Linked DNA regions of Xenopus tropicalis. The protein of the gene in region 6 interacts with the protein of the main gene of each other region in a pairwise test. Links are inferred from orthologs where the notes say so. Each region holds a gene or a part of one and is shown on either strand. Other genes may lie near its edges. The genes, in order: crnkl1, exoc7, myt1l, akap9, akap6, cdc5l and sfr1.

Evidence for each region.
Region 1: the proteins of cdc5l (region 6) and crnkl1 interact in a two-hybrid assay, tested with the Homo sapiens proteins (2 studies listed by IntAct). The link is inferred for Xenopus tropicalis from reciprocal best matches to the Homo sapiens genes CDC5L and CRNKL1.
Region 2: the proteins of cdc5l (region 6) and exoc7 interact in a two-hybrid assay, tested with the Homo sapiens proteins (2 studies listed by BioGRID and IntAct). The link is inferred for Xenopus tropicalis from reciprocal best matches to the Homo sapiens genes CDC5L and EXOC7.
Region 3: the proteins of cdc5l (region 6) and myt1l interact in a two-hybrid assay, tested with the Homo sapiens proteins (2 studies listed by BioGRID and IntAct). The link is inferred for Xenopus tropicalis from reciprocal best matches to the Homo sapiens genes CDC5L and MYT1L.
Region 4: the proteins of cdc5l (region 6) and akap9 interact in a two-hybrid assay, tested with the Homo sapiens proteins (2 studies listed by BioGRID and IntAct). The link is inferred for Xenopus tropicalis from reciprocal best matches to the Homo sapiens genes CDC5L and AKAP9.
Region 5: the proteins of cdc5l (region 6) and akap6 interact in a two-hybrid assay, tested with the Homo sapiens proteins (2 studies listed by BioGRID and IntAct). The link is inferred for Xenopus tropicalis from reciprocal best matches to the Homo sapiens genes CDC5L and AKAP6.
Region 7: the proteins of cdc5l (region 6) and sfr1 interact in a two-hybrid assay, tested with the Homo sapiens proteins (2 studies listed by BioGRID and IntAct). The link is inferred for Xenopus tropicalis from reciprocal best matches to the Homo sapiens genes CDC5L and SFR1.

The regions. Positions count from the first base shown.
Region 1 is NC_030681.2:36,930,659-36,934,158, reverse strand, and holds part of crnkl1 (crooked neck-like protein 1), read right to left. Parts: coding exon 3,418-3,500; intron 3,330-3,417; coding exon 3,171-3,329; intron 2,892-3,170; coding exon 2,725-2,891; intron 2,531-2,724; coding exon 2,352-2,530; intron 1,908-2,351; coding exon 1,737-1,907; intron 865-1,736; coding exon 673-864; intron 324-672; coding exon 264-323; intron 1-263. UniProt on the Homo sapiens protein: Involved in pre-mRNA splicing process. As a component of the minor spliceosome, involved in the splicing of U12-type introns in pre-mRNAs.
Region 2 is NC_030686.2:45,042,354-45,046,395, forward strand, and holds the start of exoc7 (exocyst complex component 7), read right to left. Parts: upstream 2,801-4,042; 5' UTR 2,746-2,800; coding exon 2,686-2,745; intron 1,339-2,685; coding exon 1,273-1,338; intron 968-1,272; coding exon 783-967; intron 632-782; coding exon 526-631; intron 359-525; coding exon 136-358; intron 1-135. UniProt on the Homo sapiens protein: Component of the exocyst complex involved in the docking of exocytic vesicles with fusion sites on the plasma membrane.
Region 3 is NC_030681.2:134,540,656-134,544,155, forward strand, and holds part of myt1l (myelin transcription factor 1-like protein), read right to left. Parts: intron 2,015-3,500; coding exon 1,955-2,014; intron 820-1,954; coding exon 676-819; intron 1-675. UniProt on the Homo sapiens protein: Transcription factor that plays a key role in neuronal differentiation by specifically repressing expression of non-neuronal genes during neuron differentiation.
Region 4 is NC_030682.2:31,455,244-31,459,413, reverse strand, and holds the start of akap9 (A-kinase anchor protein 9), read right to left. Parts: upstream 2,801-4,170; 5' UTR 2,647-2,800; coding exon 2,593-2,646; intron 1-2,592. UniProt on the Homo sapiens protein: Scaffolding protein that assembles several protein kinases and phosphatases on the centrosome and Golgi apparatus. Required to maintain the integrity of the Golgi apparatus. Required for microtubule nucleation at the cis-side of the Golgi apparatus.
Region 5 is NC_030684.2:113,436,969-113,440,972, reverse strand, and holds the start of akap6 (A-kinase anchor protein 6), read right to left. Parts: upstream 2,801-4,004; 5' UTR 2,714-2,800; intron 1-2,713. UniProt on the Homo sapiens protein: Binds to type II regulatory subunits of protein kinase A and anchors/targets them to the nuclear membrane or sarcoplasmic reticulum. May act as an adapter for assembling multiprotein complexes.
Region 6 is NC_030681.2:148,162,113-148,166,191, forward strand, and holds the start of cdc5l (cell division cycle 5-like protein), read right to left. Parts: upstream 2,801-4,079; 5' UTR 2,606-2,800; coding exon 2,561-2,605; intron 1,703-2,560; coding exon 1,599-1,702; intron 438-1,598; coding exon 276-437; intron 1-275.
Region 7 is NC_030683.2:27,812,626-27,816,713, forward strand, and holds the start of sfr1 (swi5-dependent recombination DNA repair protein 1 homolog), read right to left. Parts: upstream 2,801-4,088; 5' UTR 2,723-2,800; exon of another isoform or gene 2,681-2,722; intron 1-2,680. UniProt on the Homo sapiens protein: Component of the SWI5-SFR1 complex, a complex required for double-strand break repair via homologous recombination. Acts as a transcriptional modulator for ESR1.

The DNA.
Region 1 (3,500 bases), about 110 Mb from region 6:
AGCAGTAAGAGCCCTAATATTTTAAGTTAAAATTCAAGATGGCTGAAGACATAATTAAAACAACAAAATCTCTCACTCCTGTGCAGAGATCATTACTATCACGTGAGGCAGATCAGCATTCACCCCTACCTGGTGTTGTGCACAGCGGCTGAAGAGTGGGCTGTTCTGCCTAGCTACAGGCAAATCCTCAAATTTAGGACTAGAATTTAGTTCGTAAAATGACATAAGGCTCATGGAAAACAAACAATTACAAAGACTCTTACTTTTTTGTGAGGGATTAGTTCTAAGCAGGCCTGGTAGACTTGCCTTGTTCTCTCTGGGTCCTGAAATTCAAAGTATGTAAAAAAACCATTAAAATCTGTCCATTAGCTAAGTGAAAAAAAATTTGGTTTGGTTTAGGGTTATTCCTTTTTTTCCTATAACACGCTGCTTTTATAAAAGGAAATGCAACAGATCCAGTCATAATAATCACACTTTATAAAGTGTATATGATCTATGTTTTTCAGACTGTTTTCTGCATTAAGAGATGTCTGACACACAACTGCCATCTAGCGGGCAAAAATGTGCAGTGTAATTCAATGTAAATATGCAGACAAAGAATGTCTGGTGCGCGCAGGATGCTAGGTTATTACACAGTTACAAGAGTTTCTTGTGGATTACAATTTTTTTCACCTTTGCTTCTAGCTCCTCATACAAGGCATAGTTTATCCACAGATAAATGTATCTCTTCCAGTGTCTCTTCTCCTTTGTAGGTGGGACATTGGCAATAGCCCGTTCATAAACTTCTCGAACTGTGTCAGGATCAGCATCACTTTCAACCAGCCGCAGATAATCAAACCAAGCATCGTAATTATGAGGATTTGCCTGGGGAGAAAGACATTTGTATATTTATCAAGTGATTTCTCCATCTTGTGCCATTTTGTTACCTATTGCTGAATTGCTCTTCTGGCATGAGATGTGACCAACTGCAGCTGTGTTATTCATTACGAACATATTTAAAGCTCATTTCATTGTGTCACAAACATTCGGACAGCACAAGTGTTTGTTACTTCCTATTCTGTTTCTATCCTATACAAAAAATAGTGCAGTGCAGACTAGAAAAACTATGCAAGCTCAAAATAATTTATATACTGTAATATGCAAAGAAATGGAAACTACCCAAGGACTACTGTTCAGGTTATGCCATAAGAAACATGTTAAAAAAACAAAAAAAAACAAAACAGTTTTGTGGTGCCAGTCAGTATTTCTATTTACTGTGGGCCATGTGTGCTAAACTGATCTTTCACATTAAACTTATGGGCAGAGCAGTGTTTGGGTACTGATTTACTATCACCATAAAAGTAATGATAGAGGGGCAAGTCGGTCGGTCACTTTCAAAAGCAATTAACCTGCGGCATGTTGCCAGTCACACACATCAAGAAAAGAAAAATCTGTAGTGTTTGAGGTCAGCTTCTTGACTGCTGGCACTTAAGATTATTTGATCTATGGCAGGCAATCGGTTAAATCTACTTAAAACTATACACACATTGCTCCGTTGCTAGAATAGAGTTCCTAACAACATTATCTAGCAGTAAACAGACTAAAAACAGTTCAAATGCCTAGAACCACCCTAAATTGGTTTAAGTACTATAAGTACGTGTATAGCCTACTTGACCCTGGTCAACTAAATAGCTTTAGTCTTTGCAAGCTTACTCCTAGTTGTGTTTTCTGTGTTGCATAAAATATTGCTCCCTTACCTTTACTTCTTCTTCATACTGGAACCTCCGTTTGTTGACTATAATATCTTCAATACCTCTCCGGTCACCATATTTCTTCTCAAAAATAGTGTAATTCTTGAATAACTCTTGGGCCTGTTGCTTTGATATTCTGTCCAAAGCATATTTATAGATGACACGGACTCTTTCAAACTGTGTAGAGAACAATAAACATGCTGAATAGGATGTAATCCTGTTGGAACTTTAACACAGTTACAGATGTCATCTGCATCTTCTATCACCAGATGACAAACAGCACATCATCATCCCAGGCTGGTCTCCTTGGACCTAAATTACATTCTATTTCACCCGTTTGTTGGGAATGTGGCAGTTTTTAGAATTAAAACAAATTGGAAGAGTAAACACATTTTTATGTAGAGAAACTTGATTTTAAACCTATTCTAATGCAATAAGACAGTAGTAGCTACATCTAACCTCACAGGAAAGGGAGAAGATAAGGAGCTGAAAACAGTTGCTAGGGTCAATTACTGACATATACAGAGCCTTGACAAATTCATTAAATGTGCTCCCATTGATGTCTCCCAATTTAATACAGTTTAAAATAACACAGCTTGGCTAAAGTAAATTAAAACTCACTTCTTTTTGATGCTCTTCAAATTTAGCAAATGAAACATACAGGTTTTCATCCATGTGATCTTCCCCGAAGAATTCCACGGACCTTTCATAAACTTTTCGTGCGTGGGCAATATAACCGTGCTTCTCTTCAAAGCGAGCATATTTGATCCAGTTCTTCACATCAGGGTGCACAATTACAAGTACACAGATGTTAAAGAATCAAATTTTCTGTGATATTTATGTTTTTACTTTGTACAGGTAAGGGATCGCATATCGGAAACCCTTGAACCCTAAATAGGTTTTAGTTGCAATGTTGGCATTATTGTACATCACAGCACCCACTCTAAAGAATTTCTTAACATAGTAACTTATCACATTTATACACAAAGGATATATCTCTCATAAATAGACCTGGCCCGGTCCACCTCTTTGTATCTGAGCTCAAAGTTGATGTAAGAATGCCAAGCTTGCTCCTCAGGTTGCCACTCCATCCAACGTTCAAAAACCTGCCGCGTTCCAGCCACATTTCCGAGCATCTCTTCCATATAGGTATACTTGTACCTTCAAACATCAAAGCACTGTCTTTTATTACTCGAAGGTCAAAACATTTCTTATGCTACAGCACAATCAATTTTCTAAAGGACATAAAATCACGACAGAAACAAGCTACATATTATCTACATTGTACATAGGGATTATCGACCTTAAGTTGCAGCACTCCTATAACACAAAATCCTTTACTAAAAAGTTACCCCCATAACTCCATATATTTCTAATTATTTTTGGTTACCTATATGTATAAATCAGCATAGTCTTTCCTTTGAAAAGTGACAAACCTACCAGAACTGATTGACCCTGGGTAGGGTAGTGATTGCTCTGTCCCAGATATTTCGTGCATGATTAACCTGGCGGCTCTTCATCTCCATCTCTGCATACTTCAGCCATAGTGTAATATTTCTGTAATCCACATCTAAAGCACGTTCGTATATAGACCGTGCCCTAAAAGCAAGAAAAAAAATTCAAATCATTAATAAGCGTAAATTTAATTTTAAGCCATCTATGCCAATTTAATTAAAAAAGTGAATACCTCTGAATTTCCTTTAGACTTTCCTCCCATTGTGCATATTTTATCCAGTTACTAATAACCGTCCTGTTCTTCCTAATGTTATC
Region 2 (4,042 bases), on a different chromosome or scaffold from region 6:
GATCGCAGGTGGGGTTAAGAATGAGAAACAAATGAAGTGAGACAAAGGGAAGTGAATATGGACTTGTAGGTGTTGAGCAGTGAGAGATGTTGGAGGTTTTGGGTTTGCTGTTCTAAGAGTGACCCAACTTCTCACCCTGGTTCCTCCCGTACTCCACCAGCCATTTAGAGATGCGTATGACATCCTGCAGGATTCCCTCAGGTAGGTGTTCTAGAACAGCCTCCTCCTGGCCCTCCAGCTCCTCCTCTGTTCCAATCAGGTCTAGAATGAGGATGGGGGGCACCGGTTTGCTGTATCTCTGCAGGAGACTCCGGAACTCAGTATCCAAAGACTCCTTCCCCCTCTCGAACAGGGATTTCTACGAGAATACAGGCAAAAGAAAACCATGACATCCACACTAGTAAGCACCGTCCTTACTATAGAACCGGCAAAAAAATATTTTATGGTAAAGGCTGCAAGCTAAGCGGTGAAACATATAATGGTGAAACATATAATGGACCACTTCCAGGGTGTCAAAGAACTTACCACTCTGTTTAACTCAGGGCTGTCTGGGTTGTTGTCTTGAAAATATTCCACAGCCTTCTGGATTTTTGCAATGCAGCCCAGGTATTCCTCTAGCCTTCCCGAGGGTCTGAAAGAAAACACACATCTCTACCAGATACTGGCGGCTTTCAACTGCGTGCCTTACGCAGCAAAGGCATTATCCCTTGCACTATACAAACAAGTAGGTTGAAAGCCCTAGAACGAATATCCGTATTATTATGCAATTCAATACAAATTACCCTTCTTTGATGATGCGCTCAGTTTCCGTGGCAACATGGTAGTAGCTGATGACATGGTCCAAGCAGGACAGGGTACGATCGACATTTTCCTGCAGCCGCTGCAGGGTCTCTGTTTGTTTGTGCACGGGAATAATGGAATTCTCTAGTTTCATCAGCCGACTCTCAAAAGAAGACAGGATGGAGACCTGTGTAAGGGATAGAAAGAAAGAAATAGAGGCTTAGTGGGAAGTGTTTATGTCTTGAAGAGAAAGCCATAGGTCACACTGTGCCAATTGGTGATATAATGTAACCATTTTTCTGTTATGGATACCCCCACCTGTGGGCACTGTACTGTTCTATCAGCAGCCACATATCCGCTTACAATCACCCTGGCAGAAGCACTTACACTACTGCCCCACTGCCCCAGCACCATTCTTGTACAGGTGTTTCAATGCTAAATCAGCTTAGGGCACAGCGACACTCCCAGCACCATATTAATAGCTACACTCACCATATTGTTTGTCAGCTGATCGCTCTTCTCCAGGCTCTCCTTGATGAAGGCTAAGGTTTCCTCTTCCTACAACATGGAAGATAAAGGGAAATGTCTGTTGGAAGTGAGCTTTGGGACATGTATAAAACCCGCACATATCAAAGACAATTTTTTTTCTGTAACAGTTATACATTGTGTGAGTCCTTTATTTTTTTCAGTTATGTGCTCCTCCCTTTCTGTTTTCCATTTTCATTCTTTTTCTCATTTCCTCTTTACATCCATTCTCTCAGCAGCTTTTCATCACTATCAGTTCTGAATGAGTAGCAAATGTATTTATTTTTTTAAAGTTTTTATTTTGAAATTTTCAAACAAATATTTAAACAATTACAGAGTAAGAGAGAGAAGCTAGGAGAAAACTAAGGTGAGGCAAGTGCGTTTAGTGTACTTTGACAGAATCAAGTTTATATATAGTCAGACATTTTATATGTTTAACCAAGTGTCCCATATAGCGTCAAATTTTCCCAGGCAGCCTCGTGCTAGATAGGTAAGTGTATCATCTACTAATTTTCGCCAGTATTGTAGCAGGGGGATCAAGAGATTTCCATTGCATTAGCTTTGCCTTTTTAGCATCATATAACAATTGTAAATAGCACATCCTGGAGTCAGACCGGAGCTGTAGGGCTCCTGTTATTCCCAGTAAGCATAGTTTAGGGGAGCGAAAGAGCTAATTTCTCATTAATGTATTGAAGTACCTCGCTCCAGTGTCTTTGAATTACAGGCCAAGACTGATATATAGACAGATAGATAGAGTAAAAGACATGACATATAGGTAGTGAATAGGAGAAAGATAGAGTGAGTGAGTGAAAAATAGATGATAGAGTGAGAGAAAGACATTTAGCGTAAAAGACATGATAGATGATAGATAGATAGATAGATAGATACATAGATAGATACATGATAGATAGATAGAGTAAAAGACATGATAGATATATAGATAGTGAATAGGAGAAAGATAGAGTGAGTGAGTGAAAGATAGATGACAGAGTGAGATAGAGACATTTAGCGTATAAGACATGATAGATAGATAGATAGATAGATAGATAGATAGATAGATAGGTACATAGATACATACATAGATAGATGATAGATAGATAAATAGATAGATAGATAGATAGATACATAGATAGATGATAGATAGATAGATAAATAGATAGGTACATAGATACATACATAGATAGATGATAGATAGAAAGTTAGATGATAGATAGATAGATAGATAGATAGATAGATAGATAGATAGAGTAAAAGACATGATAGATATATAAATAGTGAATAGGAGAAAGATAGATGATAGAGTGAAAGACATTTATAGTAAAAGACAATATAGACAGACAGACACACATTAATGTGAGATTTAATAACAAAACAAAATACCTGCTTAAGCTTTTCCTCTATAGTCTTCTTCCTGGCGGAGCTATCCTCCGAGGGGATCATTTTTTCTTAAGAAATTATTTGCAGCTAATATCCAAATATTTTAGGTTCAACTCCTCCGCCCTTCCTTTCGGATTCTGACATCAGATGTCAACATGCTTCACTTCCGCCCGGAAACGCTTCTCTCGTTCAGCCAATGAGCGGCCGCCATATTGGAGCATTCAGAACGCGGCGCCATATTGGAGTTGGAAATCGGCGGACGGGGCGCCATGTTGGAGGTGGCAAATTAAGGCGCCATATTTGAGTCATGTTGAAGTTGTGCCGACTAACTGAGGTCGTGATTAAATGAGAGTATGACTTATGGGGGGGAGATTTCTAAGAACAACATGTATATTTAATAGACTGAATACTTTTATGACGCGGTATATAAGGCCGACATTTTAAAAGAAGACGCTTGGGAAAAGCTATAGCATATATGCTTTGTGAGGAAAATGGCCAATATATACGTTCATGTATAGTAAATGAGTAAATGAGACTCATGTTCAGTCATGAAAGACTCTTGGTGAGACAGTCTTTGAGATACAGGTTATCACTAATGCATTTTGTATGTAAAGGACTTCCATTCCTACATGCAAGTCAGCTGGGAGAGACAGGTCAGGCAAAGAGACAGGTCAGGCAAGGAGACAGGCAAAGAGACAGGTCAGGCAAGGAGACAGGTCAGGCAAGGAGACAGGTCAGGCAAAGAGACAGGTCAGGCAAGGAGACAGGTCAGGCAAAGAGACAGGTCAGGCAAGGAGACAGGTCAGGCAAAGAGACAGGTCAGGCAAGGAGACAGGTCAGGCAAAGAGACAGGTCAGGCAAGGAGACAGGTCAGGCAAGGAGACAGGCAAAGAGACAGGTCAGGCAAGGAGACAGGCAAAGAGACAGGTCAGGCAAGGAGACAGGTCAGGCAAAGAGACAGGTCAGGCAAAGAGACAGGTCAGGCAAGGAGACAGGTCAGGCAAAGAGACAGGTCAGGCAAGGAGACAGGTCAGGCAAAGAGACAGGTCAGGCAAAGAGACAGGTCAGGCAAGGAGACAGGTCAGGCAAAGAGACAGGTCAGGCAAAGAGACAGGTCAGGCAAGGAAACAGGTCAGGCAAAGAGACAGGTCAGGCAAAGAGACAGGTCAGGCAAGGAGACAGGTCAGGCAAAGAGACAGGTCAGGCAAGGAGACAGGTCAGGCAAAGAGACAGGTCAGGCAAGGAGACAGGTCAGGCAAGGAGACGAGACAGGTCAGGCAAGGAGACAGGTCAGGCAAGGAGACAGGCAAAGAGACAGGTCAGGCAAGGAGACAGGTCAGGCAAGGAGACAGGTCAGGCA
Region 3 (3,500 bases), about 14 Mb from region 6:
TCAACTCCTCATGTATTCCTGTGATTATTCCTAGGGATTAGTGAATTTGTCCCATTTTGCTTTGTTGAAAAATTTGGGAAACTGCTACAAAATTTGTGAAACAGAGAAAAATATACGTCAAATGCATTTAAGTCAACAGTAGCGATGGGCGAAATTTTTCGCCAGGAAATGAAAATTGCGGAATTTCCATGCCTGGTGAAAAAATGTGTTTATTACTAATTATTCCTTATTACCCCCTCCTACCACAGACCAGGAACTTATATTAAAACTATAATTCCACACAATTACATTATATTACTAATGGGCAGGTTGGGAACCACAAAATATCCTTAGAGAGACACATTTAGCTAGAAGGCTTCCACATAGGCAGCCCTGATTGTTATTTTTATACTATAGTTCTTGATGTCTATAGCTGCAGTCTTTAACTCAAACAAACAAATACAGTAATTGTGTTTTAATAAATGATGAATCAATTAGCAAGAAGTCAAAATAAAATGCATGTGGAATTCCATCAAGAGCTTTATTGTTTCAAAGTATCATCAAATTATCTGATGTGTTAAGTCACAACATCAGAATGTTGTAAATGTTGAGAAAATAATGTATAAAATAATAGGCATATAGATGAATATTTTGACAGCAGATACATAGGTAATGATACTACACTATACTACTTACCATGTGGGGCAGCTGGATATTAGCTAGACTGTTAATTAAAGACTGGCTCAGATTGGCCAGCTCATGAAGAAGAGACTCATTTTGCTGTTCGATTGCTTTATTCTCTTCCTCAATTGTCTTCAGGTTGCTCTCCATGGTGGTAATCTAAAAAGTGCCAATATGTGCAAAAAATAATATAACAATAGTTATAACAGCATGCGTTTAGTAAAAAATGACCATTAATGCAAATGTAAATGTGTGATGTCTAATTATTTGTTAACTTATGTGAACATGCTTTTGGGTAAAGGAGATTCCGATGGAAAATAATTGTTACAAGCCTTGATTAATGCTTGTTATACAGAGTGTGGATCTACAGCTACCTGTCAGATAACCCCAATGGCTAATCCTGTAGTGTGACTTTAGCTTACTTTTATATACGAGTGCATTTTGGGGGGACGTAAACAATTCTGAGCTAAACTTGTATGAGTGTAGTATGTGCAGTGGCGTGTAGTTGAATTTTGAGTGTGTGGCTGTTACTTAGAAAGATGGCCTTATAATAAACAACACCTTGAAATGAAACAAAAATCTTGTCAACTTTCCTACCACAAACAGAAAATGGTCCCTGTTTTTAAATCTGAAGGGGGTTGGATAGAATTTGCTAGACTTTACTTTTATCTATTTAACACTCTAATTATTCCCCCTTCAACTGCATTTAGCAATGACAGTAATTATCACTAATTATAGCAATTACCTCCTAAGGTTAAAATATCCATTACATTTTTTATATCCATGTGATGCCTCATCTTCAAACATTATCAAATTATCTAAAAATTTTGTCTGTAATATTTATAAAATAATATTGCTGGCTATACAGGAGGAAAGTACTTTATGCTACTTTTGTAGGTAATCATTCTTTTTTGTGTTAATACTATGTGAAACATTAACTGTACTCTTCTAGTTCTGTTAACAGACATTTATTTTACTATCTTTCATTTACATGAACGAGAACTGTATCTATGTTCTAATGCTCATCCTATATCAGTCCTGTCCAGCCTGGGGTGTGTGGACAACACATGCCCTTTCAAAAATGGCTTCCAGACACATTGGACAGGATTAAAAGTGAATCTGCTAAGTTATAATCTTCTAATAGTCTATAGTGATATTGAGGGATACTGATCTAGCTGATATATAAAAAGAACAAACTCATGGACTGTTTATGAATAACTTTTATTCTTCAAAGGCTGAATTTCGTGTAAGTTACATGGAAAAACCACACAACCTCCCCTCCCGTGTAACTTACATGAAATTGGTATTCATCAACACAGGGTTCTTGGCAAGCAACAGGGCGCTCGTCCAGTACCTAGTGGGAGGGAGCAGAAGCTGAAAAGGGGGCAGAGAATGAGGCAAAAGAGGTGGAACTGATTCCGATGAGCAAACAATGTATGTGTATAAATTAGGCTGAGTTTATATATTTTAGATGATGGATTAATAGAAGTTTTTTTTTAATTTTATCCATGGAGTTTTTTGAAAATTTGCTGTGACTCCCCTTGATACTGGGGCCTTGTTTGTACTCCTTGGTTTATATTTTGATGTGTTAACATCACTCAGCAATTCGTTTGTTTTTTTTTTTTGCGTTATTGTGTATCAATTAGAAACGTTTTGGAGATACTAGATGAACTGTTAGAATAGCCTTATGGCTGGTCTAACTTCTATGCCATCCAGCCCTGCTCAGCATTGAAAATAGAATGCCATTTGATTTATTTTCCTTTTCAGATACCCTTCAGTGATGTTTGTGTTTAAATTCCACCTCTTTTTATTGTAAAATCAGAATTACTAGATTCTAAAATAAATAAGAGCAAACAAAAAAAAAACATCATTCCGCATTTGACTTAAAGAATCTCAGTGTCTTTAGACAATTTCCCAGGATAATATCATCATCCAAAAAATTCATTTCGTTGGAACGGTTAATGTTTGTCGAAGAAACATATTTATAAGTAAAAGATTCTACTATAATTCATTCCAGTTTCACGTATATAGTGCCACACAATTGAATGTAACACTGGGGAATAACAGATGGTAACAAGCTGGTTCTCATCCTCACCCTTAGCCTCCATGTATTTGATTTTTTTTTCTAGACTATTAATATATAGAGTTGATGTCTTGGTTGATGAATACCATGCAGCCAACATGAACATGTGGCCACAGAAAACGGTATTTACGAAATTACGGATGCGCCCACATGCGTCACATAATGATGTAACTTGGACATGTCATGCACATGCACCACACAAAGCATTGTTAGTGCTGGCTTTTGAAAGAGGTTTTGATGACAATGATTTTTAATCATTTTGGGCAACACATTTTTTTTTTTTTAATTTTGAATAATGTTGCAGTTTCTTACTTGGTCATTTCGTTGAAACAAAGATAAATAAAGTCAGTCATTTTATATAACAATAACAAACATGTGGTCTAAGCAGGAACGTTCCAGTTTCAACTCCTGATCATAGCTAGGGCAAAACTGGGAGATACAGTTGCCTTGGAATTAATGCTGTGGCTAAACAAGGGTAAACAAGAGGGTGGAAATAGAATGTTAGGAAGTTAGACTACTGCTAAAGGGGACCTGTCACCCTAAGAAATAATTCCAGATTGTTTTCAATTGTGTTTGCCAAGCAAAATAAACTTCACTTACACCATATAAATTAGTTGAATCTTATTTTCTTCAGCCCTGGAATTCACAGTTGCAGCAAGCAGACAGGCACCATTTTGTGGTAACTGTTATTAAGGCAAGCTTTGAATCCTGCCAAAATCTTATTTCTGTGCCAGTATTGAGGGACCTGATGCTCATG
Region 4 (4,170 bases), on a different chromosome or scaffold from region 6:
TAAAAAAGGAGAAGGGCTATATACGATTTATGCTTTCGTAAAACACATACACATTGTCCTTTTAGCAAATATGCACAACTATACAGTGTTACAAAGTAGCTGCACTGAATACACAACACTTTCAGCGAATAAAAACAGGCATTTAACCCAAGAAGCACAGAAAGCAGTAAACGGTAAATATGGGAGCATAATTTATTGTTACACTGACATGCAATAACATGCACTGTTTATGGGCACACACACACACACACTAACTCCTGGCATAGACATGGGTGCTTTATGCACAATGCAAAAATATATACTATTTTATACAGCTGTGGGTATGTGTTGCTCTGCAGCAAGAAAAAATACACATATTTATATTCAGAATGCAAACACTACAACAGTAACCCATGGTATACATGTGAAATTGACACCAATGGAAAAAGTGATTTAAGCAAAATACACTTTCCAAATACAAGCCATTTTATACAGTTGTGGGTATAAATGTGTCTTGATTAAAAGTATACCTAAATAGGAAGAAAACAGACACACAAGTACATACACTCGCACCTATATTCTGTATGCACACACTACAACACTAATCCATGGCATGCAAAAAACCTTACACCAATGAAAAAAGTTATTTAAGTACACATACATTCTATGTACCTGCCATTTGGCATATATGTGGGTATAAATGTGTGTTTATTTTTAAGTATTTCTCTTCAACAGATACACAATTACGCACCCTACAACACTTACCCATGGTATACATGTAAAATTAACACCGATAAAAAAAGTGATTTAAGCACGATACACATTCTAAATAGAAGTCAATTTGTATAGTTGAGGGTTTAAAAACTATTAAGTATTCCACTGAATGTGTATCATTTTGTGCACATACTGACACAGAAGCTGCACACAAACATATAATACCACAAAGTGAAACATACACTGCACTTAACATAATAGGCAAACAGGATCCAGACACACCAAAAGCACACAGAGACACAAGAAACCAGTTGCACCAAGCAGCAAAGTGATGTGAAGCAAGTACCACAATGATGCACAGAGACATGCACAAGTGAAGGGAATGGTACAAGGCCCCAGGGTACATAGAGTGATACATGCACAAGGTGGCTCATAGGTAGAATGTTTGGGTGACATGTGCACAATGTGGCTAATGGCAAGGCATAGTGACACATGGACAGAATGCTGTAAGGTGCCATGCACACACAGGAGGTTGGATGGTGACACATGGACAGAATGCTGTAAGGTGCCATACACACACAGGCGGTTGGATGGTGACACATGGACAGAATGCTGTAAGGTGCCATACACACACACAGGAGGTTGGATGGTGACACAAGGACAGAATGCTGTAAGGTGCCATACACACACAAAGGAGGTTGGATAGTGACACATGGACAGAATGCTGTAAGGTGCCATACACACACACAGGAGGTTGGAAGGTGACACATGGACAGAATGCTGTAAGGTGCCATACACACACACAGGAGGTTGGATGGTGACACATGGACAGAATGCTGTAAGGTGCCATACACACACAGGAGGTTGGATAGTGACACATGGACAGAATGCTGTAAGGTGCCATGCACACACACAGGAGGTTGGATGGTGACACATGGACAGAATGCTGTAAGGTGCCATACACACACAGGAGGTTGGATGGTGACACATGGACAGAATGCTGTAAGGTGCCATACACACACACAGGAGGTTGGATGGTGACACATGGACAGAATGCTGTAAGGTGCCATACACACACACAGGAGGTTGGATGGTGACACATGGACAGAATGCTGTAAGGTGCCATACACACACACAGGAGGTTGGAAGGTGACACATGGACAGAATGCTGTAAGGTGCCATACACACACACAGGAGGTTGGAAGGTGACACATGGACAGAATGCTGTAAGGTGCCATACACACACACAGGAGGTTGGATGGTGACACATGGACAGAATGCTGTAAGGTGCCATACACACACACAGGAGGTTGGATGGTGACACATGGACAGAATGCTGCAAGGTGCCATACACACACACAGGAGGTTGGAAGGTGACACATGGACAGAATGCTGTAAGGTGCCATACACACACACAGGAGGTTGGAAGGTGACACATGGACAGAATGCTGTAAGGTGCCATACACACACACAGGAGGTTGGATGGTGACACATGGACAGAATGCTGTAAGGTGCCATACACACACACAGGAGGTTGGAAGGTGACACATGGACAGAATGCTGTAAGGTGCCATACACACACACAGGAGGTTGGAAGGTGACACATGGACAGAATGCTGTAAGGTGCCATACACACACACAGGAGGTTGGAAGGTGACACATGGACAGAATGCTGTAAGGTGCCATACACACACACAGGAGGTTGGAAGGTGACACATGGAGCCAGTGACATAGACACATCAGAATGGCAGGGTGGCACCCAGACAAACAGGGCGGCGGGACAGCTCGCACAGACACAGCACGCCAGGAATATGCAAACAATGGAAGCCCCCCTTCCCCAGTGACAGCTGTCAGAGGGAGACACACACACAGACACAAAGCCTCCCCACATTCCCTTACCTTAGCCTTGCCGGCCTCCAGCTTCCTCTTCCTCTCCTGGTCCTCCTCCTCCATGCCTGCGCCTGTACAGACACACACAGCAATGCGCAGCGTTAGCTACAGCGCCTACCGCTCTCTCCCATCTCCACGTAAACATTCGGCGCACTCCTCTGACGTCACCCCAGCGCCCGGCAGCGGCGAGAGAAGTCAGTGGGGGCGGCACCGATTGCAGCAGTGGCAGAACTAGGAGTTGACAGCTGCTGTTGCGCTGCTGCAGTTCCCAGACACTTAAAGGGGCACTGCCCACACCAAGGCATTGTGTGCAAAACAGACAGAACAAAGACAATCTAGCATGTGAGCTATACTTAACCAGCACATGTCCTTATAATGAGAAATCTTTTCTTACAACGTGGTATTTAAGTGTAATATTTTCTTTAAATTGTAATTATTACTTAAAAAAGTTATTTTGTCTCTAAAATTTAAATGGTATACTATAACAATAGCATGACTTTGGATATATAGTAGTTGAGGTTAGACAAAGACACATCTGTCAAGTTTACCTTTATGCTCTGTTATTGCTGTTGGTTTACAATGCAAACCAATCATCTAATGTTTTTGCATTGAAAACATTTAGCAAGGGCCAATCCCTGCTGTGAATATGGTGCATCATATAGGTACCATTACTCTTACCAGAACTACTTTAATGCAACGGTACTTACTCTATCTGAACTGTATTTATTGATGATGTCTCTACCCACCTCTTACATTCCAGTTATTTGAGCACTCCCAGAACTCCCAGTGGGCCCCTCTGACAAAGCAATATGTGATCGCTGTATGAGGAGGAATTTTAGCTCATAGTAATTTAGCTCACAAAACCTATAAGAGAACCCTGGAATTATTTTGTACAGTTCATTTGTGCAGAGTCAGAACAGGTTGAATGGGCACACTGGTGTTCTTTTCAAGATGCAAAGGAGTGTTTATGGGTTCAAGTACCTTTGTATATAGCATCAAAGCGTATTTTTTAGCTAGTGTTTGTAGGAGGCTTCATATTATGTTCCATTAAGGTAAACATAAAGAATTATCCCATATGTGATGGGCTTGAACTCAGAAGTAGCTCTACAGAAAAGAGATCTGCGTATGACCACTATGGTTACTGTTGCTATTGTTGACAAGCAATATTGCAGTAATTACTCATGGGTATAAATACAAATATGCAGATACTGGAGGCAGTGTGCTTACAGTGAGAATACATTTTACTGAAAAACAGTGTTTAAGTTCCGTTTACAGTTGGTAGCTTTATCACTTTCAATAAAAGGGTTACAGAAACCGAATGTATTTAGACATCGAGGGGATGGTAGCAGTCTTATTAATGCTGTGAACCGGTGCAAATGTGCAGGGAAGGGAAGAAAAAGAGCAAAGAAAGAAGAGAGAAAAGAGGTAAAGAAAGAAAGAGAGAAAAAAATATATATGTAGTGTAGTAATTTCTCAATTCTGATTAGTAAACACACCTCAATCAAACTTATAGTGCAAATTTTAAAAAATGCTAATCAACCTTATAGTTGTGCAAAGACCTATTGGTGCCAATGTATAGTGTTGTTG
Region 5 (4,004 bases), on a different chromosome or scaffold from region 6:
AAATTTTTTAACCTGCCCAATTTCAGTCCAGGCCCGTCGTTTGTGCCCCTACACGGGCCGATAAGCTGCCGAATCGGTCTAAGGGACCCGATATTGCCAGCTACAATCGGCCCATGTATGGGCACCTTTAGGCCATACCAGAGCCCTTGTCACTTAGGGCTCACTCACACAATTTGGGGCACAATTTACTTTAGTGTAGTGCAAGATGCAAAGTGCAAAAACACAATCCCCCATGGTAATTGCACTTTCCACCCTGCACATTGAAAAATATACACAAAACAGAGTTCAGAGACCTGCATTTCCCCTGCATGTGATAGTGCTGTATTGATGAGGGGTGGGCAGGGAGAGACATTCCCTCTCCCATACCTTATCCATTTCCTAATTTCCCTAATTACCTCATTAAAGTTAGGGAGTGCTGGTGAGTGCAGTCTACAGCAGAGCTCTGTATGCACTACATTTCCCATCAAGAACTAGGCACAGAGGGAGGCCAGACTCTGGACTTAAGGTGCCACTTAGCCCTCTTCCACTCACCTCTGAGGACAAAGTTAATTACTCCTTAGATGTAGACAGTGCTACATGTAAAGGTTTCATATAGATCTGCGGTGGAAATAACTAAGGGTTGATGAAAATAGTCCTTGACCAGAGCCCACCAGGAATGCTCTGGTACTTTGGCAGGTCAGTCTGACCCTTTCTTCCCCAGGATATAAATCAAACACTATTTAGGCTGCTGCCACAAGAAAAATAGTAAATACATAAAAAAGCATTAGCTGCAACAGTTGCACATTTAGCAGAAAAAAAACATTAGGAAATAGTAAGGTAACATTCTAATACATTGCACAACAAAGGAGTTACACATTCTGCAGAGGGATTCTTAGCACATCTGAAAGGGAGTGAAAGGGATCCCCAGGGTGGGATCCTATTCTCGCCTGCCCCTTCGTATCAGGAAGCTTTTTTTCTACACCCCAGCTCCGCAGAGGGAGAGGGAAAATCAATACTGAGAGCAAGCCAAACTGATCCGGCCCTTTAATTCAGAGCTTTAAGGGGAACGCCCTATGGCCAGCAGAACTACGGAGGCCACAATGCAATGAAAGGCAATCTCTGCCTGCTACTATTATAGCACAACACCACACATGACATAACACAATGCCTGGCAAATTACTTACACTTCATAAGAACGGAACACAGACATATGGCTAGGCATAAAATTATAGTAAATACTGCATCTTGTCCAGCATCTCAACACCATAAAAAGAAGGGATAATGGCTTGAAAGACTGTATTGCTGCATTCTATTACCTGGGGTTACATCTGTCATTTGTGTCATTTGCCCATTTTTACCTATAAGTATAATGGATTTTTTTTCTAAGATGGTGCTTGGAAAGGCAATGAATATTATATACCAAGATAGCTGTTAGCTCAGGGGTGTCCAAACTATGTACTCCCTGATAATTGAAAGGGTTTCTGAGAGTTGTAGTTCAGCTGGAAGGCCACAGGCTGGATATATTTAGGTAGTTGAAGTGGTAAATCAATGCAGTAAGGCCTTGCAGCTTATTTACTCAAAGAGGCAAAGAAATATACTGATTGTTGTGTTGCCAATACATACCCAGTGGACATGCAGTGTGTAGGTTATTTGTGTGTCTGCCTTGTGACTCGTGTTCTGTTTCCTACAAGTATGTGCCATTAATCATGAGCTCCCCTGGGAAAATAATTATAATGGCATATCTAGAGTGCACATTTTCTGAGACAGAGCCTTTCCCTAAATGAGTCCCTTTCCCTAAATAATTTATTCCAGTTCAACTTCTTTTTGTTGGCTGTTAAAGCAGTGTCTTTAGGATTTTTTGGTTCTGGTCAACCATATGGTTGGACCCCCTTAGCTCATAACAAGGTCACAGACATATAAACACATTGATACCCAAATAAGTAAATAAGAATTCAGAGGGCACCAACTGGACTAGGGTACCCCTTAGACTCCAGTAAGGTAGCCTTTTCCATAGCATTTAAATTCATTCCTCCATGCAGATGTACAGCACATATCTATATACACTGTAGTTTGTAACTTTGACAATTAAATATGCTTTGTAGTATTGTAGTAGGCATTCTTGTGGATCCATGATTAAAACAACATTCTCAGTGCCTCTAGAACTGATCAATAAACATTGTTTACGTTTACACATGATCGTGAGATCTTTATTAGGCACTGACGTTTACTATAACAGGGATCATAATAAATACCAAGTAAGGGAACATGATCACACGTATATATAGAAATAAGTGGTATGCTTGTGCATGTGTGTATTTAAATATATATATATTTATATTTATATGCACACACAGGAACTGAACTGTAAGCAAGAAATTCTCCCACTGGAATATGTATATATGTTGGTGTGTGTGTGTATATACATAGAGAGAGAGAAGTAGAGTATGAGAGAGGTAAGAGAACAGATATGTGCTTGTGTTCTATATATATATGTTTGTGTGTGTGAGAGAGAATATTGTGCTCTATACATGCCTGTCTGTTTCCTTTGACAGAGGCCTTTGTCTCCTAGTCTGCATATCATGGGCCTGTATGTATTGTATTCATCCTCCTCCCATTCTCCCTAGGCTACCGGGTGGGTACCACTCCTCAGTGGGCTCCGGCAAGATAGTCAGAGCAACCTGCATCCATCACAACATACTCTCCAGGATCGGCCCATGGTCTTGGAAGAACTCACCTCCTCTCGGGCTGCGCACGCTGCGTCTGAGGCTTTGGGCGGAGAGCGGCTGTTCCTGTGACCCGCTGTATGATGCTGCGAGATCGACTCAGATGATGCTGCTCATTAGGGTTGCAGTTGCCGTGGAAACCTGGGATGTGATGGAGAGAAAAGGGGTGGGAGGACGGTTAATCCTTGGGATGATGGGATGTAACCTGAGACCAGCATTTAACCTTCTCACTGCTGGGCTGCCAGTCATGAAAATCAATTGTATGGGAACACATTAAAAAAAAGGGTGGTGCCATGTAAAGTGGTACAGAGATTAAACTATAAATATCAGGATGCCCAGATGCAATCCCACAATAAAGGGATGCTACTGCTGCTTCCTTAACCATTCAGAACACAATGACCTGACAGCTGGCAGCAGAAGTGAATCGAGTGGCAAAAGCACTCAAATAAAAGGGGTGAGCTAAAAAATAGGTGCTGCGTTATTCAGAATGAGGGCGTATGACTAGGCAGGAAGGATGCTGCTGGCTCCATTATTAGATCTGAGCTAATTCTGTGATAAGGAGCTCATTACCAAAGACTTTGTCATCATTTACAAAAAGGCAGGAATGCCATTAACTCTTGACTAACCTGCCCAAGGCACATAATAGTCATGGGAGAAGCAGTCTCAGCAGGCCCCTGTGAGCGCAGGCTGTGCAGTCTCTGCTTTTGCTCCTGCCTATACATACTGTTTGTATACATTAAATTGCCAGACCCCATAAATGACAGCCTGTATTTTCTAGAATGTGCTGAATGGAGAAACCATACATTCAATGTAAAGAAACATGGGCCATTAGCTCTTATCATTTCTTGTGTTTCTTTTGTTCTTAGTAGAATACAATGGACCTGCAAACACTTTACACAGGATAAATAATAGTGACACAGTGCAAAGGGTCTCTGTCCAGGGTGCTGAGGGGAATATAAAGTAAATGGGCCAATTTCAGCTGCCGATATTGGTCCTTTAGAGCGATTTGGAAGCTTATATGCCATGGATGGGCACCAACGACAGGCCTCCACAATCGACATATGGCCTGAATTGGACAGATCTCAATCGGACAGGTTTGATTCTTCCGTTGGGAAAGGTTCGATTTTTCTGTCAGATCAGGGGCTGCATCAGTTTGTTGATGCGGTCCCCGCCTATAGCCGCCATTTTAATTTGATTGTTCGTCCCTAGGTCCCAAAGACTAAATTAGTCTAGTAGTTGGGCATGTCGGGAGAAGATCCTCGCCAAGCGAGCAGATCTTACCGTGTATGGCCGCCTTTAGAT
Region 6 (4,079 bases):
AAATTACTGGTCCTTTAACTAGCAAATGCTATGGTCAGAATCCCTAATAATCAGGTTTGGGCTGGTAAACTATACCTCAGTATGGGGTAAAAACAAGCAAAGGACACAATAGCGATTAAGAAAAAAACCCATATCAAATTCCTCTTCTGGTTAAGGGTACAGTTACTTCTTGCCTGATAGAATGGGAACGTATTCACACTGCTGTATCAGAAAACAACTGTTCAAACTGCTCAACAACAATTCAAATGTACATTTTCAGAATGAATGGTACGTACAGTAAATATTCATAGTGCTCAAGGCACTGGGCGGCTGTTCTTCCTATGATAGGAGCGATTGTCCTCCACTGAGTTGGCATCAGCTTGGCCAGATGAAGTAGTTTCTCCTCTTCTTCTCGGGACCATTCTGTCTTTTTGATGCTTGGGTCAAGCCATTCATACCTGTCACAGAGACATTAAACGAATTTAGCAACCAATGTTACTACAGATATTCAGAAGGGCACTTGGTAATTGTTAGCTTGTCTGCCAACAAATCTAAGTGAAAGCATGGAACTTAATTTGACTGTGATATCACTCTGTTTTTTGTTAAAGAGCCCCACACAACACAGAAATCCCTAATATACCTATCACTGAAATCTGTTCCGTCAAAAAGTAAAAATAAATACCATTTTTATATGCTGAAATCCAGCTGCAAAACAGTCCTTCTCTTTCTGCATCATTTGAAATCCTGGCAGGGGAGAAGGGACTAAAACACTGATGTTACAGATTGTAACAACTTCTCCACAGCTTACAGACAGCATGCAGGAACTACATAACCCACAATGCATTGCACTAGGATGTTCCTTTCCTTATTGACATCACGTGTGCAGCAGGGGATTGTGGGATTGGGAGGATGAAGGCTGAAGGCAGGCTGGGGACAGGCGACTACTGTTACATTTTATTTGAGTCACAAAGTAGCCAGCCAGATCAGCAGGGGAACAGGGGGCGGGGCTTAGGGAACTGTTCCAAACCATATTATTACATTAAAAACCATGAAAAGGCTGCATACTTTTAATTGATATATACTGCTTGAAATTATGTTTACTTTTTAAAAAACTTAAAATACTTTAAATGCTCATAGCAGAAGATTACACACTGAAACAATTTCCTAAATGTTTTCAGGGTGCAATATTGGGCTAATATATCAATATGTATGTATATAGGTATGTATGCATGTACATAGGTATGTATGTAGGTAGGTATGTATGTATGTATTGTAGCAATACATATTGCTACATGTATGTATACACATTTCTTCAAGGTGCATTTCTAGGTGTAACCCAAATTATCATTATTTATATAGCGCCATCAATATACGCAGAGCTTTACAGCCCAATGTTCAGTCACATGACCATGCCCTTCATTACAGACAATATGGATAGACTGTCAGTGCATTATGTGCATGTGTAACCCTTTCCATGCCTGCTTTGCCCATTCTCTTTACCCCCCCCCCCTTCCACCAATGCAGAATACCAGCTGTTGCGGGGCAGTTTATCTGGTTTCATATTAGAACAGGAACGTATGGAACGCTACGGGCCCGTGGCTATAATGGCCGGGACGTACCATCGGGCTTTGCACTGTTTGGCCGATTTCCTGTGCAGCAAGGAAGCAATACGAGACCACTGGTTTTTCCCATATTTCATAACAGCCGCTTTGAGGATTTCATCCTGAGAAAATAAAGAGGAAAGTGCGTTATAGTATATCAACACCACACATGAGAAGTGAGGGAGACATAGGGTACAGGGGTATCTTAGTATGAAGCAAAATGCATATATATATATATATATTTTTTTTTTTTTTTTTTTTTTTTTAAAGGTTTTGATGGATTTCCCTTCCCCTCTGTCCCTATCCATCTTTCAAAACGTAGGGCACTGAGCCCAATTTTATTTTTTTTTACTTTATATTACTTTTCTATTTAGACCATTCTTCTATTCACCTTCCACACCACTGCTTAGCTGCTAGGATGAAGTGGACCCTAGCAACCAGATAGCAGATGAAATTCAAAATTGGAGAGCTGCTGAACAAACAGCTTAATCATTTAAAATAAAAACCCCACATTAAAAATGAAGACTGAGACTATAATGCAAATAGCTAAGGCATAACCCCCAGTGGCTGCAGTCCATAGCAACCAATTGACAACCAATGCAATCTGCTGATTCGTTGCTATAGGAAAACACACCTTGGTTGGAATTCGATCACAAAACAATCTGGCGAGCAATGGGATGCTGGGAGTTGTAGTATAAGTTGGCCCACCTATATTGGCTTTCTCTACAGGCCATAGAGGCACATTGAACTAGTTACCTGCACCTAAATTACACTATTATTTCCTATAATTAAGCAGCTCAGCTTCACTCAAATACTCCTGTGCAATTGGTCAGCTTTACAATCCTGAAACACTAACAGGGAAAAGGCCAAAGCACAAGCTGGGACCCTGTGAACAACAACTCCCAGAATCCCCTGTTGGAAATATCAAGGCGCCCATGTGAGTTCATTGAGCCGCTACACAACGCCATAACCCCTCTCACCTCGGTGTTCCGCCACACCCCGCCTTTTATCATAATTCGCGGCATCCTGGCTGCTGGTTAGGGGCCCCGGGCCCGCACGGTGTAGCAAGGAGAGAAACGGGGAAAGCGGCCTCCGGCTTGTTGTGCAAAGTGACGCGCACACACACCAGCGTGCCCGCCGCTCTACTGCTAGTCACAGCGCATAGCGAACATACAGTAACTCCCCACAGCGGCCTCTGGTGGCTGGAGGTTAGCATTGCATGCGGAACAACTGCGCCCTTAGCGGTAGCGGAACAACATTTACCAGAATTCCCCGGCAAGTGAGAGGAATTCCCTGGCAAGAGAGAGGAGAGGCATTATGGGAGTTGTAGTTTATCAGCTGCAATAGTGTGAAGTAATTGTAAAAGTGGTAAAGGTAAGGTTAGGAGATACCCTTTATTAGTTAAGTCACCTGAGTAAGTAAACATTGCAAGCTTTGGAAGCACCCAGGCTATTTCAATGGCTAATATGGTAGAGGTTTAGGACCTGTTATTCAGAATGCTTAGGACCTGGGGTTTTCCTGATAAGGGATCTTTCTGTAATTTGAATCTCCATAACTTACGTCTGCTTAAAACCATTTAACCATTAAATAAACCCAATAGGGCTGTTCTGCCCCAATAAGGGGTAATTATATCTTAGTTGGGATCAAGTACAGGTATTGTTTTATTATTACAGAGAAAAGGGAATCAATTAACCATTAAATAAACCCAATAGGGCTGTTCTGCCCCCAATAAGGGGTAATTATATCTTAGTTGGGATCAAGTACAGGTATTGTTTTATTATTACAGAGAAAAGGGAATCATTTAACCATTAAATAAACCCAATAGGGCTGTTCTGCCCCCAATAGGGGTAATTATATCTTAGTTGGGATCAAGTACAAGTTACCGTTTTATTATAACAGAGAAAAGGGAATCATTTAACCATTAAATAAACCAAATAGGGCTGTTCTGCCCCCAATAAGGGATAATTATATCTTAGTTGGGATCAAGTACAGGTACTGTTTTATTATTACAGAGAAAAGGGAATCATTTAACCATTAAATAAACCCAATAGGGCTGTTCTGCCCCAATAAGGGGTAATTATATCTTAGTTGGGATCAAGTACAGGTACTGTTTTATTATTACAGAGAAAAGGGAATCATTTAACCATGAAATAAACCCAATAGGGCTGTTCTGCCCCCAATAAGGGGTAATTATATCTTAGTTGGGATCAAGTACAGGTACTGTTTTATTATTACAGAGAAAAGGGAATCATGTAACCATTAAATAAACCCAATAGGGCTGTTCTGCCCCCAATAAGGGGTAATTATATCTTAGTTGGGATCAAGTACAGGTACTGTTTTATTATTACAGAGAAAAGGGAATCATTTAACCATTGAAATAAACCCAATAGGGCTGTTCTGCCCCAATAAGGGGTAATTATATCTTAGTTGGGATCAAGTACAGGTACTGTTTTATTATTACAGAGAAAAGGGAATCATTTAACCAATAAATAAACCCAA
Region 7 (4,088 bases), on a different chromosome or scaffold from region 6:
AGCTTTGCAAATATATGGTTTGACACAGAGAGACTGTGGGCTTTATGGGGCAGGGACTTCCTCGTGACACTTAGCGGTTGATTCACTAAAGTGCGTTAAAACGAGCACTATTTATAGCATGCGGTAAAAATTTTATCGCTTCTTATTTTTTGCGACTTAACGCACGATTCACTAAAAGGACAGGCGTCATAATTAAGACTTTTAAGCATTTTAACGCAAAGAACAAGCATTTTGCATTAATTCCCGCCACGTGCGTTATTTCCCGCTGCGTGATATATTTTCGCCTGCTTGCTATATTAGCGCACAATTTTACGCACGTAACCATTACTTTCGGAAAACTACTTTTCTGAAAATGACCATTTCCCTGAAAATTGGAGGATGCATCACTTTAGGGCCAACACATACTTGAAAAAATCCCACTGCAAAGTCCATGTTGTGTTGCTAAAAGCTCACGAACCACAATTTTCTTTAAGTACTGCCTGCCCCAAATAGGTGTTAATTTTCGCACAGACTAATGCGATATTTAGCGCATTTAATGCTTTATATGTGTTTGTGACTCATGCGCTAGTATTATATCTATGCGAGAATTAACGCAATGCGAGGTAAATAATGCATGCAATAGTGCGTTTTTTTGCGCATGCGATATGCGACTTTGATTAATCAGTACTTATTTATTGTGTGCTTTTTAACGCAAAGAAGCATGCGAATCGGCCCCTTAATGTCTTATACTTATTTATTATGTTTGTTCTCCCTGTGTACTTTTCTATATTGTACATTTTTACAATATATTTTTACCTGTATCCTAGTAGCACTTTATAAATAAGGTTATGCATACATTTTAGAATTTGTTAGAATGTGTACATTTAAGAAATATAGCATTTTCCTCAACCTAAATTCCTTTTTTCCTCAAGTTAAATTACTTGTTTGGTTCTTGCAATTTAAGCTATGTCAGCTTCAGGTGTACTGGACACGGCCACATTTTTTATATAGGCACAAGAAGGCCAGTGCTTAGGGGAGACGCCATTGTGAGCCTACATAAGAAAAAGCTTCCCCTATCTTTTGCAAGTCCATGTGATGACTGGGCAGAGGACTGGTGCCTATGGCACTGCCACACCTAAATATACCTCTGGCTGTACTTTGAAAATAAGGTATTATACAGCCATGACTTTTTGGTCTATACAAGTCAGAAATCTCCATCTATCTATATTTATTTTCCAAATCATTTGTATCTTTTTAACCATATCATAAAATGTGTTGATCAATTTTTCAATATGAAAAATATGTTTATATGTAAAAGTCAGATTCTTGTCCTCAAAAAAAAAAAAAAAACAAAGAAATACATATTTTAATATACTAAAATTTTCCCCAGAAGATTACCCCAAAGTGAAAAAACACAAAGTGTAAACAGTGGCCCTGCTGAAAGAGTCAAAAAGCCTTTAATTAGGTTTTTTTGCACAAACCACAACACAGTGTTGTCTGTACCTAAAATATGATCTTATCCCTATCTCTGTTAGGCTAATGGTACATGGGGCTTTTTGTCTACCACTGTATCCAGTTTTAAGAACAAGGGAATCTGAGGTTATTGGGTGTGCTAATGTGTTAGAAATCCAATCACTATTTTTTTCCCTAGGCAATACTCCCTTTATGAAAAAGACTGAACCGGTTCAAGTGCCTTTCCACCATTCTGAGTACCTTTCACAGGCGTCGCTAGCACTGACTTCCATTTGCGCAAGTGCAGGACAGTTAAGTCAGAATATGTTACTCTGCTGCTAGTGTGCAAAGCCAAACAAGTGATACCGGGGAGGGAAGTAAAATGGCGGCCTGAGGGGATAGCAAACAAATTCACCGGGGTTCAGCAACACCTGTTAGCCTGCACACAAGCACTGAAGTCTGGTCTTTCGGCACTTGGTCTGCATCTGCCGGGGGCACTTTCCATTTGGCCCATGACTAAGTCCCCTAGGGCATGAGACGCGTGGGGTTTATGAAGATGTTTAATGCAACTTTTAATAAAAAGTCTTTTTACTTTAAAACTTTGTGACCCCTGTGGAGATTCCCGAGTGCCTATTTGCCCTTAGTGGAAGCCACTTTCCATTTCTTTTCCATTCCAATTAGTAGCGGTGACAGGCAAGTTTGCACTGGCAGTTTTCCATTGGATGCCAGCTCCCTGTATGCCATATTGTGATTCTCTATTACTATTATCATATTGTGCCCCTCAATAACTGTAATATACATTACTCTGACTGATGCCTGGTCTTCCCTGTCCCTACACACTGTACCTCATAGCCCTTTTGTATTGTAAACTCTAATGAGCAGAACCAACTACCCCCCTGTATTGCTCACTATTTCTATGTAATGTGCATGCCTCATGTATTATATCATCATATCCAATTTCCAAGAATAAACGGTACATCGAAGGACATCATATTAATCAATGATACCGGGGACTTATCTGTATTTAGCTTAAGTAACTAATACAGGGACGTTTTAGCAGACATGTCAGAGAGGCAACCATCATTCTCTCACAGTGTATATATGAGGAGCCGGGGATGAGGGTGAAATCCAGGCACCGCCAGGTTAAGGGAAGAAAGATCAAGTTATTCACTCGGCCAAACCTAATAAACCAAGTCGCAATACCGAGCCGCACACAGAGCCGCACACACACACACACAGCCGCACATACCTTCCTTACTTCCCGCCTACAAACTCTCTGCGTTCTGTTTACCTCCATGTAAAAGAAGGCGGGCTACTATTGCTTTCCCCTCCTCTGCGATCCCATTGGTTGCTTATAGACTAGCCCGACGCATGTGCGTAAAGGCTCCTCTCCCAGAGTTCCGTGCAAAAGTCTCCTCCCATTGGGCGGGGAAATGGCTAAACCCGGAAGTAGAAGTGAAGCCCGTACCTACTGTAGTGTATTTATTGATCTGCTCAGTTTATTGCGAGTTATTGAAAGGGGGAGGGGCAAGACAAAACAGACTTTGCTGCAATGGGTTCCCTGTAGTGCTGATAAAGCGTGGGAGGGGGGCAGGAGCTGACAGGTTGGGGTCGCACCTTTCCCTCTTTTATGCAGAAAATCCTGTGGCACTCTAGTAGTTTTTGCTCAGTAAAAAGGGTTTTATTTAGCCCATGTACATACAGGTGAGGCAATGGGCCCATCTTTTCTATGAACCCCCCCCTTCCTTTCTATCCGTCTCTAATGTCCTGTAATGTACTTATAAATAATAAAGTCCCCTTTCAAGTGCCTTATGTCCAGAGAAAACCCCCACACATTTACAGCCTCTCTCACAGTTTCTGTCATCATTTTTATTTCTAAATTACACTGTTTACATAGCAAATTATTCACTCTACCAACAAAATATATTTTTTTAGCTGTAATATTGGTGTGTAGGCGCCATCTCAGTGCATTGTGCCTGAGTCGGAGCTTTCAGAAGGAGCCAGCGTTACACATTGGAACTGCTTTCAGCTAACCTATTGTTTCTCCTACTCCCATGTAACTGGAGGAGTCCCAAGCCGGACTTGGATTTCTTACTATTGAGTGCTATTCTGATATCTACTAGAAGCTGCTATCTTGCTCCCTTCCCATTGTTCATCTGGGGGGGGGGGGGGGATATCACTCAAACTTGCAGCTTAGCAGTAAAGTGTGAATGAAGTTTATGAGAGCACAGGTCACATGACTGGAGCACCCTGGGAAATGAAGAATATGGCTAGCCCCATGTGAAATTTCAAAATTAAAAAAAGTCTGTGTTTTTGAAAAATGGATTTCAAGGTGTCTGCTCTCTTTCTCTTTGGCTGTATGGGGGTGATTTTTATGTGTTTCCCCCACCTACCCTTGAAAATGCAGGGCATGGTGCAAAAGAGTACAATGAGGCCTCTTGTCATTAGATGTTCCTGTAATGTGTTTCTGGGAGATCCTGGTTTAAGGGTAGGTGCAACGTGGGCTCAGGAAGCAGAGCATTCTGGCCAGAAGCTAAATATGGGGAAAATAAGCTTTAATTACCAATGAGGAATATACGCTGACAGTCACAGCACTGTACCCCTCTTCTTTAGAAAATGCACAAGACTTTCCATTGGAGCACTTTGCCTTCATGTTC